Linked DNA regions of Bombyx mori. The protein of the gene in region 1 purifies or fractionates together with the protein of each later gene. This does not show direct contact. Links are inferred from orthologs where the notes say so. Each region holds a gene or a part of one and is shown on either strand. Other genes may lie near its edges. The genes, in order: dnaJ homolog subfamily C member 3 and DnaJ-3.

Region 1 (6,294 bases):
CGGTGAAAGAATAACATCGTGTAATAAAAATCAAACCAGCAAAATTACAATTTGCGTAATTACTGGTTGTAGGACCTCTTGTGAGTCCGCGCGGGTGGGTACCACCACCCTGCTTTTTTCTGCCGTGAAGCTGTAATACGTTCCGGTTTGAAGGGTGGGGCAATTTATGTCTCGAAATAGGTGGCAGCATTTACGTTGTAGATGTCTATAGGTTCCGGTAACCACTTAACACCAGGTAGGCCATGAGCTCATCCACCCATTTAAGTAATAAAAAATTAAATAAATAAACGGGGAGCGCCCGCTCTCAACTACTACTACGTCACGTATGTTTCTGTGCTATTCACTCTCAGGTATAATTCCAATGCATCAAATTAAATTTGTGTACAGTCACGGACGGCCAAAGTGGTTTGTGTGATGGTGACGATGAGATGATGGGATGATGAATAATCTCAAACATTTCCTCAGAGTACTCCTCATGGAACACACGGTATAAAATACAGAGAGAAATGAATTCCTTCCGCAGACCCCGAGGTTCCGAACGATCTGTGAGAATGGGATTATCGACAGTCAGAGCGGCCCTCTTCTGGATAGAGTTAAATGGAAGCTGGTATTTGGGAGGGGGCTCGCGTGTAGTGCCGGGCGGACATGGCGGCTCGTGTGACACAAACCTCTTTAGCGGCGGCGATGTCGATGAACTTCTTCTCGGCCAACTTCTTCTCGTCCCCGTGGTAGCTGTCCGGGTGCCACTTCTGCGCCGCCTTCCTGTACGCCTTGATGATCTCTTGTTTCGTCGCCGTCCTGCGGAGCGAAGGCTCGCGTCACTACCAGTATTACTACTACTACTACTAGCACGGCGAGTGGAGCGAACGTTACCTCTTGACGCCCAGGATTTTGTAATAATCTCTTTGTTCGGATTGTTTCTGCAGTTTCTGTGCTCGGCTGAGACCTTCCTTCGCTCGCTGAAACCCTTCATCTAACTCCAAAGCCTCCTTGTACGCGCGGATAGCTGTGAACAGGAGCGGCGCTGTAGATGTGTGTGGGGGGGCGGTGGGCGGCGGGGGTGCACGTACCGTCGTCGTACATCTCGAGTCCGAGCAGCGCGTCGGCGCGGTCGCACAGCAGTCGCGCGTCGCGGCGCAGCTCCAGCGCGCTGCTGCAGTGCCCCAGCGCCTCCGAGTACAGCTCCTCCTGTACAGTCAGGACGTGTTGGAATAGTGAATACTATTACTTATTAAATATGCCGGAAATTACTCTTTATTTATCTCATAAGATTATAGTTCTGCATATATTTTGGTTCTTTAATTAAAATGTATTGGCTGAATTGATTCCAGTTTGTTTTGCTATCCTATGTCATACTGATAGGTTGCGTCGTGGATATTCAAAGGAATGTTTTTTTTATTGTTTGCTAAATGGGTGAACGAGCTTACAGCCCACCTGGTGTTAAGTAGTTACTGGCTCCCATAGACATCTACAATGTAAATGCGCCACCCACCCTGAGATATAAGTTCTAAGGTCTCAGTATAATTACAACGGCTGCCCCACCCTTCAAACCGAAACGCATTACTGCTTCACGGCAAAAATAGGCGGGGTAGTGGTACCTCCACAGATAACCCCCAATAGATACCGCATTATTCAACATTTGTTTCAATTCGACTTCACCAAATTTTGAGGTAAGCATGAGTGACGGGGGACGTGTCAAGTGTGCTGTGATTGGATATTTCAAAGACAAACTTATAATGCATCAAATCATAGTGATGGGACAGCTTTAAAATTGTTGATCGATAAATTTGTAGGATGATCTGGATCATTGATATTTTAATTTTATTATTAGTTATAAATAAAATATAAATTAATTCTAAATTATCCAATATTTATTAAAATTAATAAAAAAGGATCTAAGTATATTTCATTGATTTTTAAAATGAATCAGCTTAGTAAAAATTCGTCTTACAGAATTCTTAGGATCTGTCTTCCTTGATAAGTAAAGAAGTCTTATATCTATATATTTTTCCACGACACTGTTTTAAATCAATAATGTGATTACAATTTTCGTGATCAAATTGGTGATATATCAGGAAAAATACTTTCACCAACAAAACTACTTAATGTTTGTGTTACAAAACGTTTTTTCTTTATATAATATTTTACAACCTCAGGTTGTATTTATTGAGCTTCGTATGACTTTCTTGATAATGTTTTAAACATTAAACATTACTGGTTTAATAATAAGGTTTTTTTTGCTACAATAGAAAAAAAATAATAATGCCCAAACAAAGGTCGACTTGTAAATCACAACACTATCGATACACGTGCAGATTTAGACAAAGACAACTATTGTAATTTACATGATGAGTGAAAGGGACATTTCAAAAAGACATCAAGGGGTGCTTTGATATTATTACTTTTCACATTTCTTAACAGTATAAGTTGAACTCTGGTTTATTCGAATTAGGTTAATGTAATAAAAGTACAGACAAGTAACAGTAGTTACCGATGAAATGTTATGCCATCTTTTTGATAACCACATGTCTTAGATGACTTGCCACACCATTTTATTGCATAGGAAGCCATTTATAATATTATTTGAATTTAAAACTATCTTTAAATATTGGCAAGAACTCGGCGTGCTTACGGGTCTTAAACTTGGTCAATACTGATGTCGTGATTCTTAGCGTCACTTCATATACTAGCTAAATCACTAATGTGCTGTGAACATTTGTGGCCCTGTATGCGGAATCTATTGGGGGTTATCTGTGGTGTGGACTCACAAGAGGTCCTACCACCAGTAAGAAATAGAATAGAAAAGAATGTATGTAAAGGTCCCCCAGATGATAAGTAGTCACAGTCGGTGAGGCGGGGCACAGCTCTGCAGTTGTGGTGTGTGAGCTTGTGTCGCTCATTAAAATAGGTGCAGCAACTGAGGTGAGCTCACGCGAGCGAAATTAAGCTTATGAGACAATGAAGTTTATTTTTTTTTCAAACGCTCTTCAAATTTGTCATCATACTACATAAGTTTTATTTAAAAAGAACGAGAAAAGAAAATCTATGTCAAAGCCTAAGATCGAGTGTGTTCATACCTTCACCGCACAAGAGCAGAGCCACCTTCGGGCCTCGAAGATCACCAGAGTGACTTCTGTCTCTACGAGCAGGACAGCGGAAGCACTCTTCATGCATCCTGCAAAATCTCTCGCTGAACTCTTGTCTTCACACTCCTGGAGAAGTTTGTCCACTTTTTTCACCTTCTTGTAAAACGGAAAACATTTCTTGTGCTCCGGATCTAATTTTAGACATTCTCTGATTTCCTGGGGAAGTTGAAAAGTTAATATGACTGTTTACAATTAATTAAATTGAACAGATTTAATGAGAGGTACTCACTTTGAGCGCGTCACTGACATGTCCCAATTTGTACAACAAGGTAGCGAGCCGGTAATATCCATCAGTAGAGTCTTGCTGTAATCTATTTACTGATCTTATGTCTGACACGGCCGAAAATAAATCATTCTGAAAACGAAATTACAAAAACACTATGAATCTTTAATATCATTTTTATGAAATATTGTAACATCAAGTATTTTTAAGTGTTATATTTCTTCGATACTTTTAATAATATATTTTGTGTGACAATTCATTATTATGATTTTAAATTAAATAAAAAGATGGGGGGTCTACCCACAAACAGCAATTTCTATGGTGCTTTTCCTCTCAGGACAGAAGTTTGATTTAGGAAAGAGATTAGTTGTTGTAATATTCAACAGTCTGCCTCAGTTTGAAATGAAGGGTAAATATTTGACAAATAGCTGGTTACCAAAGCCACGTAGGACTCTGCCCGCAGCTGCCGCAAGTGTGCGCTCCAGGGGGACACGTCGAGCAGGCGGGTGGCCAGCTCCACGGCGGCGCGGTGGTCTCCCCCGCGGTAGTACGCCTCCACCAGCCGCAGATCGTCTATGTACTCGTCTATCCTGTGGTACTGATTGATTGCTTCTTCGTTGTACGGATCCGCATATGTCTACAAATTAATTGAATATGTTTAATAGTGAATACATAAGCTTTATACCTGTAGGGAACAAACAGGGTACAGGGTACCAAATATAGGGTTCAGATGCATTATTCTGGGGATCTCTAAAAATCGTATAAAATTTTACATTAAATTAAAACAAAGTGTCATATGTCTTATGGGTAATAACAACGTAACTTAATACCCAGCAGCACAGGTCAATTATAGTGACAAGTCTAATACTTAGTAAGAGATTTATGAAAATATGTCTTAATAGCACTTTTGAGCCACAGTAACATACCTGGTTAATAAATATACATAGTATATTTGTTAGACATGTTAGATCTGATTTTATTTGCTTTAGATTTCAATTATAGGGTAGAATTAACAATTAACTACATATTCCAATTTAATTTTTTTTTATTCTGTTCTCATCAAACAGCAGAAGAAATTTTATTTTGTATGTGATTTTGTATCATGTTTCATTAGGAGTGTACTAAGCAGTTTTTCAAGTTCATCTTGTCATCTCTTTTTATCATTCAACTACACTACATTGATGTTTACTACATTATATGGTTACTACCCGCTACATTTAACATGTATTTCCAGATAGTTTTTGGTATTGCAAAACGGGTTGTAAAACTCATCATTGTGAACATGATGACTGTGACTGCTATTCTAAGAGTGCAGCAAAAGAACAAGAATCCCCCCTCCATACTCTCCTGAGCACTATAAAATGTCTACATGAAGTTTTAATAGAACCCATGCAGTTGGTATAGGTTGTCTGTATGCCTGCCTTCTTAGCCATTAAAAAAAGTTAACAACAATATTTCAAAAGATAGTAATAAAGTAATTTTTTTAGAGAAATTGATTATTCAATAATCTTGATTCTTCTTATCATACATTTATCAAAAAAATTCAACATAATATGTGATAGCATAACATAGAAATAATATTTCTAGAAACTCACTTTTTCACTCTTTTTTTGATATTTAAGAAATATTCATAAAAATTGTAATGTATGTGGCCCACATTCTACACTGTGTGATACATTAATGTATGGTCCAGCGGTCGACATTGCAATTAATTAAATATTTTCACACATCTGTAATCTGTACCTTTTTTATAAATATGCCCAATTTAACATTTTATATTATTCAATATCTATACAGTAGATGTTTCTTATCTAAAAAATAAAATTATACTAATAAGAGTTTTCCAATTCACATTGTAAGTTTTTACAAAGACATTTCCTTTGTTCTTATTGATATCAAAAACAATAACTATGACTACTTATTCAGCATGCACTCAAGGCCGTATTAGACTGATAGATTGTTAAAATACCTGTCTTTTGTTGTAACAAAACATTAATATATTCATTTTACAAAAAGAACAGATAAGACTTACCAATAATTATTCACCACACACAATTAAATTAATGTATTGATAATGTTATTATGATAATGCACGCATATGGCTTATGTTACAAGCCAGATTTTTTTATTGTTGTTATTTATTGTGTTTTTTTTAGCTTGTAATGTGGATTGTGTGCCTAATAAATCAAAAATTATATGTTTGAAGATTGAATTACAGTATTTAGGCTGCCCTATACTGTTATCTAGACATAATTTTCACAGTATTGAAATGAAAAAGTTTCTATTAGTATTAACATAGTGATGTTTTACAGCCCTACTGAGTCCTTACACGTTGAGTGGGCCATGAACTTATTTTACCCATCATTAGAAATAAAATATACTTACGACTTCTAAATAATCATTTTTGGCATCAGTATATTGTGCTAATTTGAGGTAGACATTCGCTCGCTGTAGTCTCGCTGATGTGAAGTCAGATTTCAGCTCTAGCACCTAGAAAATAAACATTTATTGCTATAACATAAATTCAAAAAAACACTTGCAAAATATACAAGTGAGGTTGTCATATACCTTTGAAAAGTCTTGAAGTGCGAATTTTGCTTTTCCGAGGGCATAATACACTGTACCTCTCTTGAAGTATGTAAGATAGTTGTGTGGATCTCCTTCTACAGTAAAAAAAGCATATTTTGGTAAATGTTAAAAACATTTTACTTAGATTGTAACTAGAGGTTTGATATGAGCTTGTGACCTTGATTCCCTATCAAGATTAAGCCTGAAGCACTCACCGACAGCTGCGTGATAATGAGTCAAAGCGTCAGAGAGTTGTCCTCGAGCCAAGAAGTCTCTACCCAACTCCAAATGCTTATTGACCTCCGCCTGCGTCGCGCACTCTGAAACTGCACGTCCACGTTTTAAAATACAAAGTTT
Region 2 (8,073 bases), on another chromosome or scaffold:
CATATCTATACGAACCTTGCTTTTTCCCCTGTAATAAATGGAAAATGATGTAAATTTTAGATTATCACATTATAGTTCAAGAATAAAACTACACAATATTATATTCTCACATCACTATTTTAGTGTTTCTTAATGAATTGATAAATTTATAGAAAAGTGAGACAAGAAAAACAAAGATATTTCAATTCTTTACCTTCACATTAGCTTCTTCATAAGTTCTTAGATATTGGGCAGGGCCAGTGTTACGAATAACGCACAGGTCAACGTTAGAACCTGAACCCAAGTCATTGAATATACCAGCAGCAATAGCATCTCGGACAAGCTTTTTTCCTTCTTCCTCATTCATATCACGTTTCCAACCTGCTTCAAACACTGCCATAGCCGCAAGAGATCCAGATCCTACAAAGTACCAAAATTTAGTACATAATAATATTATAGATGTAGTGAAGAATATGACCAATGACTATCAATTTAATATAGTACATATTTAGGTACACACTAACAATATTTACCCATGGTTGCATATGGTAATTTATCTACAGATCCATGAGGATAAATGCAGTAAATATGAGGACCGGTTCTGTCAACACCTCCCAAAACCAGAGCAGCCCCTATATGGCCTTGATAGCGAAATAGCATTCGTTTCAGCAGTGTGGCAGCAGTTTCTACAGGTACAGTACGTCCAGTATGTAAGCGCTGCAACTCCAATTGTGAAGCAACAGATTGTGTTGTCATTTCAGTGTCAGCTGCTGTTCCTGCTCCACAACAATACATGTTGGATGCTAAGTAGTGGATTTTTTGGCAGTTTTTGTCCGAGACAACTGTATTTTCAGTGGCTCTTGTGTCAGCTCCTAGAATAACGCCGTCTGCGTATATTATACCAACAATTGTAGTACCGGTCTTGGTGGCTTTGGGTGCAGGAAACCCTTTCTGAGCAAGAAAAGCATTACTGAAACAGAAAAGGAAATATTTTTATCCAAAGTATTGAGGTAGAATGGTATTTGTTGCCCGTACTTAAAGGACTTACCGTTGAAAATTCTCAAACGAGAATCCTGGAACTGGAATTTCGGGCACTAATGCAGATGCCATTTCGTGATTTGACAAATTTTATTGAAATTTTAATTTAAATCGTACGCTTTTAAACGTTATTCCACGCAAACCTAAATATTAAAATAAAACAGTAAATTGACAGAGCGAACATGTACAATGATTTTCAAGTTTGCAATGTTTTTTTCTTGATGACCAACAACTCCGAAACCTTAATGCCAATGCACACAAGAATTTAATTTGACAAAGGTGATTATAACGAAATATTTAAGAAAAAGAATACGAAAATCTAAAAGTTGTTTAAGGTGGTAAGTAGCATAGTATATTTAATTATACACTGTAATACTACCAGTTCATTAAATAGATTTCGATTAGTCCTGTGTCGATCGCGATTGACAGAATCTTTTTGACCCGATCTCGACCCATACGCGTGTGAACGGGTCGTCGGTGCTTGAAAGATTCGTTCTTCCAGAGATTCGATCACCAGGTGACATCACAAACGAAATTGGACTTTATTCGTGAAAAATTACCGTAGCTTGTTGCTTAATTAATCGATTATTTCTTGCATTCAATCACGAAATGACGTAGCTATTAAAATATCTTCTATCTCTTTCGTTTAAGTACATACATACAATCCTGTTCACGCAGTGCACTCTTTCTATCTTGTCGTTTGTTGTGCGTTGCATGATTGTATCCAAAATAAACCGGATTGCGCGGGATCTTTCGGGTCGCACGCGACTTGTCAATCGCGGGAGTGTATTTTAATTTTGAGAATGAATTAATTAATCATTGCATCGGTGACTCTGACTACTGACTTGCGATAGCGTTTCGGTATATTCCCGGTACCTAGTATGTTGTTTGTGTATGTTAGTACTTTTACTAAAATATTTTAAGTGACGATAATAAATCTTAAAAATAATAATCGTATAGTTACTTTTTTATAGCAATACAAATTACGAAAAAAATAAAAACTGTCCTTTTTGGAGTCTTACGCATAGTCCTTATTCTCGTTTTAACGTGAGAACGAGATCGATCGCGCAATCCTTCGGTCATTTTTATATTAAACTAGCTGACCCGGCAAACGTTGTGTTGCCTTAAATAAGATTTCTAGGGAAATTATAGTCTAATATTTAAAATACTCAAAAACCTCATTCAACCACATAATATAGTAAGCGGCACGTAAGTTGGCAAGGTTTTGGTGTAGTGGGGGTAATGTCGCGCATAGTGTACATTGCAACAAAAAAATTGTCGGTTTTATGGCCCGCATATATGTTAATTTTATTTTATTAAATTTTTTATTTGCCATAATTTATTTTTAAGCCTGTGTGTTTAGAAGACAGTTAAAGAAAAGAGAGGAATTCGTGAAGTGTATTAGGTGTTATAAATAAAATACAATTAAAAGTTAAAAAGTTTATTTAACAAAATATACTTAATATTAAAAATTATGTGTCGCCGTCGTCACTATCATTTTCTAATAGTGCTACCCCTTGGATTAAATTTATGGTAGGACCTGAGCTGGTGGAAGGAGTTGGCTCCTCATCGTCGACATAACGAAGAGTCGCTGTCGTCACTGGCGTAAATAATAAAACGCTCAGTGACTGAATCGACTATAATTATGGTCATTGGTATTTGGTCCTGCCATTGCAAACAAATTTAAAACAATAACACTCGTAACAAAAACTAAATTTAAAATAATAATAACAACTCGTAACAAAAACTCAATATAAACAAAGGGTTCCTATAACTTTAGTAGGCACAGGTGTAACCGGGAGCGAACGGAACGTGGACGCGGTGCGGGAGGGGAGAGTCGACTGACTCACCAATCGCGCGCTCGGAACGGTGCTACATCTTTCCCCGCGTCCCGCTTGACAACCAAAGATACCTAAAAAACGACTTCTGCGCATCTAGCGACTCTTGCCAAGTTACGCGCTGGGGACTATACCTCATTATAACCAAAAAAAAAATTATAAAAAAAAAATGTTTGGGGTGAACAACCCTTATCACTTAGGGGTATGAAATATAGATAGTAGCCGATTCTCAGACCTACTGAACATACTATTGATACACAAATAAAACCAAAGAAACATGGCTGAAAAATGTATAGTGAGTAAGACAGGAGACCGGCTTCGTCCTCATCCCTACTACGTGATTTTACTTTGCTGGATGAGTGGTGACACCTGGCAGGGATAACTGATCGATTGATAGTTGATCAGTAGTCGACCGGCGAGGGCAGGAGATCAAATTGAATTAAAAAAAATCATAATTAAAGGAACTTGAAATTATAAACTCTGAATAACAATTTATCATACTACAATTATAATATTTGATTGCCATCTTGCAACCTTATTGCGGATCTGTGCATAGAATAAAAAAAATAAAAATCGGGATGGAAAAATAGGGGTTGATCGTATAAGAGTGAAAATTGAGAGTAATATATTTTTTTTATTTTAAGTCATGACGAAATAAAAAATAAAATCTTGGCAAAAAATTTAAAATTTATAATTAACAAATAAAAAATAGGGGTTGATCGTAGAGGGTGAAAATTTCAGAGTAATATGAAATTTTTTATTCTAAGTCATGACAAAATAAAAACAAAATTCTTGCAAAAAAATTTAGTTTTTAATTAACAAATAAAAAATAAGGGTTGATCGTAGAGGGGTGAAAATTTAGGGTTGTATGTATTTTTGTATGCTGTATCATAAAAAAATAAAAACAAAAAAAATTGTCTAAAAAATAAAAAATAAAATTTAGGGGTGGACTACCCCTAACATTTAGGGGGATGAAAAATAGATGTTAGCCGATTCTCATAGATACCGGATAAGCACAAAAAATTTCATCAAAATCGGTCAAGCCCTTTCGGAGGAGTATGGAAACGAAAACTGTGACACGAGAATTTTATATATTAGATAGATACATACGAACTAGACGAAACTATACGAAATAGATACATACGATGACCGAAATGATTGAAATGATCGAATCTTTATGACCCGATCACTATACGAATGGGTCACGATCGACCCGGGTCATGGAAAACGATTGACCGACCCAGGTCTAATTTCGATATGTCCACTATATATTTTTTTGACTGTTATAGTTCACGCAACTTTATCTGATCATGATCATGTAAATAAATGAAACTTTAATTTCTTTTAAGAGTAATTAAAGTAATTAAATTAAGTGAAAGATTTCCCAAATTATCCGTTTTTATTATTATTTTGTCTCATTGATGTCTTTAATTGATTGAATCAGTCCCCTTCGAATTCAGCGATTACAACGAAGAATTCGAGGAGCAAACCTACCCATAGAAACAGTCCAATTAGTTTCTCGCCGGATTTTTTCAATAAGTCGCCATTTCGCTCCAATGATAAATTCTGCGAAGCATTATTCTTGCTAGGGCTGGTTGGCAAAATTTCTTAGGTTGAACCTAAGGTAAGCTCACCTACCCATCCGTACGAAGCTGGAATAACTCTTCAAGCTAGCTAGCTAGATAGAAAAACACAAAAAGGTGTTTTTCTTTTTGTTTACAGATAGATTTTGTGAATTGTTTAACGTAGTCGAAATGTAGTTACTAGATTTGTGTAAATTATTGTTGGAGTTTGAATATGAACATAACGGCAGGCAGCACTTACACAATATGTAAGGTTACGGATTTCGAATATTGGAATTATTTTAAATGTTTAAAACAAATAATTGTCTTCTCATCAGTGAAGACAATGACTTCTCATCTAGACACGGTCAGACCAACATCTAAGAGTTTTATAAAAATAAAATAATATAATGGTGTAATATTTGTACATGTACAAAGTATTTGCAATATAATTATATTAATCATGAAGAAGAGAGTTTTTTAAATAACCCCTCACCTACAAAACCCAGTCCCTTCAAATTTAACCGTCCAACAATTATACACTTGCTATAAAAACTTCTCAGTATTCCTCTTAAACTGAATCACAAAATATAATTAGAAAATTTTGCGAATTGAAATCGATTTTTTCTAAACTTTTCAAATAATGCCTCCCAGCCTTTAAACTGTTCTTAATTTGATTCATACTAGAACTTATGGGCGTGAAATAAAATTTATAATAGAATTTGCCTTTTAAACTCTTTTTCTCTTGTTGTTAAACTGAGTATTGGCTGACCAATAGGAGGAGGACGAATTGTCTTTCAACTCCGATTTGTCAAAATTTAGTTGGTTCTGTCAGAAAAGACGGAAATGTGTTGAAAACTACTACGTTACTGAAATTTGACTATTCGTATTTTATTGTAGATTTTAAATGTTTTTGTAAGTGTAAAGACAAAATGCTAGTTAACGCAATTAATGTGTGTTTAATTTATTTATTGTCAGCTCTAGTCATCACCCTCGCTGGTCGTGATTTCTACCAGATACTTGGTGTATCTCGGTCCGCGAATACAAATGAAATTAAAAAGGCTTACAGAAAATTAGCAAAAGCATTGCATCCTGATAAAAATCAAGATGATCCCGATGCTGCTCAAAAGTTTCAAGATTTAGGGGCGGCTTATGAGGCATTATCAGACCCCGAAAAACGCGAACTGTACGATCGTTGCGGCGAAGACTGTTTGAAGAAAGATGGAATGATGAACAATAATGACCCTTTTGCAAGCTTCTTTGGTGATTTTGGATTCCATTTTGGTGGTGAACCGCAACATCACGAAACACCACGAGGGGCGGACATTGTTATGGAGCTCACAGTTTCACTTGAAGAACTTTACAATGGAAATTTTATAGAGGTGACTAATATTATACTTTTTTCAATATATAAATCTATGAACGTTATAAGAATTAAAATAGACCATAAAATAATTTTCCAGAGAAGTTATTAACAATTATTACAGTTTAAATGTTATAGTTTACAGATTTTATAGGTTTATTTTTCCAATAAAGCAATAAAGAGAAATCTGATAAAAACTGCATGTCACCCATTTAATTTTTAACAGATAACTAGGAATAAACCCGTAATCAAACCAGCTCCAGGGACCCGCAAGTGTAACTGTAGACAAGAGATGGTAACAAGAAACTTGGGTCCAGGAAGATTCCAGATGATGCAGCAAACAGTGTGTGATGAATGTCCTAATGTAAAATTTGTTAATGAAGAAAGGCTACTAGAAATTGAGGTATGACTTTGAAGATATTGTAAGAAATTGTGAAAGGAAAATGCTACAGAAATGTTAATTACAGTAAAAACTTTCAAATGAACAACATTTTTAAGTGAATTAAAAATATAATATTTACAGGTAGAAGTTGGTGCTCCGGATGGACACAAATCTAGGTTGCGTGGAGAAGGTGAACCCCATGTAGATGGTGAACCAGGTGATCTCATTGTAATACTCAAAACGGAAAGACACCCACAATTTACTCGCAAAGCTGATGACTTATACACCAATGTGACAATTTCACTACAGGTAGACAAATTAATATTTTTGTTTGAATGTAATTAAAATATAAATATGTACATATAAGATAGTTATAACTAGTATAGTAGTAGATATAGTAGATAACTTCAATATTTTAAGCTTTTAGAAATTAATTTGTTTTTTTATTGCTCTTGTAGGCATACGTACCACCTGATGGTGAGAGGTTAGTGTCGCCCATTGATGTCAGTAATGCTAGGGGCAGAACCAAGCCGCTGACTACCAGAAATAATTTGTTAAAAATAATAACCATTTATTTACTTTCAGGATGCTCTGACTGGTTTTACTCTTGAACTTGAACATTTAGATGGTCATAAAGTGTCAGTGTCTAGAGACAAGGTAACATGGGCTGGTGCAAGAGTTCGTAAGAAGGGAGAAGGCATGCCAAATTTTGAAAATAACAACCTCCATGGAAATCTTTATGTAACTTTTGATATAGAATTTCCCAAGCAAGACTTCACAGATGCTGAGAAAGAGGGTTAGTTTGTGTTTTATATTATTTATGTTATAAAGGAGTAACATTAATCCCATTTCTTAGTTATTATTTTATTTATTGAGTGTTATTGGCTTTTGTTAAATTTTATACGTTTCACAATGGCTTTATTCCCAGTACAAATAATCTCCCGAATAGTAAAATAAAAGAAAAATTAACTAATATTGTCTGTTGACCAATTCTCAATAATTATGTATATCTTGTATTTTTAAACTTTTTTTAACTTCTATAACTCTTTATTTCAGCTTTGCGAAAAATACTGAACCAGCCACCAAATAATAAAATATACAATGGACTATAGTGATAGTAAACTAGTAATTATAGCTGGACTGAGTGTGGTTTCATAAGATTTTTGTTACCTGAATGAAGACGTGCATGTGATGGTTTTATAAAAAATAAAAATACCATTTTGATTTGTTATATTTTTTTTTTTTTCAATATTGTTGAAGACGAGTAAATTATATTTTGTTAATGAAGTTCAACTTGAAAAAATGTTTTTAACAACACTACAAAACATTATTTACATCAAAAAAGAAACTTAACATACTAAAAATACATTGGCAACTTAAAAGTATGGTGTCTCGTTGCAGATTCGTTTTAAAAACTTGATGGGTTTAAAACATATTTCTCTAATTACAAATAATTTATTAAATTGATTAATTAGAAGCTGACAAGTCAGTTCCAACAATGTGTCACAATGTGTAAATTGTGTAATCATAATTGTACAATGTAATTCTCAATTTACGTGCAATCACAGTGTAACGTAAAAATGAAAAGGAGAGATAAAATCCAATTTGTAACACACGGCCAGGTCGTGTCCCACGCGAGTTTGTTTATGGACTGCTTGAAATAAGTAAACTTATCAATTATTGTACCTATATATGTCACGTATTCTCCGTTGATAAGTATATTCAGTCATCAGACTTATTTCAAAATATATATGGTATTTGTTGACGCTATGACGAATCGCGCACGATATGAGATGCGTACATAAAGCGATCTTTAATGATTGAAATTTATTAGTTGTCTATTTGGCTAAAAGTAAATATGAAAAAATACAATATTGCAAATACTGGGTTATTTTCTACTCAGTAAAACTA

The links.
Region 2: the proteins of dnaJ homolog subfamily C member 3 (region 1) and DnaJ-3 purify together in Homo sapiens (affinity purification with mass spectrometry; 3 studies listed by BioGRID and IntAct, with this or other methods). This does not show direct contact. The link is inferred for Bombyx mori from reciprocal best matches to the Homo sapiens genes DNAJC3 and DNAJB11.

Annotation. Positions count from the first base shown.
Region 1 is NC_085121.1:18,213,856-18,220,149, reverse strand, and holds part of dnaJ homolog subfamily C member 3, read right to left. Parts: intron 6,264-6,294; coding exon 6,153-6,263; intron 6,033-6,152; coding exon 5,938-6,032; intron 5,860-5,937; coding exon 5,755-5,859; intron 4,007-5,754; coding exon 3,806-4,006; intron 3,502-3,805; coding exon 3,376-3,501; intron 3,303-3,375; coding exon 3,078-3,302; intron 1,189-3,077; coding exon 1,071-1,188; intron 1,007-1,070; coding exon 874-1,006; intron 799-873; coding exon 669-798; intron 1-668. UniProt on the Homo sapiens protein: Involved in the unfolded protein response (UPR) during endoplasmic reticulum (ER) stress.
Region 2 is NC_085110.1:12,971,279-12,979,351, reverse strand, and holds DnaJ-3 (DnaJ (Hsp40) homolog 3), read left to right. Parts: upstream 1-5,257; 5' UTR 5,258-5,349; coding exon 5,350-5,799; intron 5,800-6,006; coding exon 6,007-6,183; intron 6,184-6,303; coding exon 6,304-6,471; intron 6,472-6,747; coding exon 6,748-6,958; intron 6,959-7,218; coding exon 7,219-7,274; 3' UTR 7,275-7,393; downstream 7,394-8,073. Other genes in the region: proteasome subunit beta 7, read right to left, coding at 1-28, 194-399, 513-949, 1,028-1,089. UniProt on the Homo sapiens protein: As a co-chaperone for HSPA5 it is required for proper folding, trafficking or degradation of proteins.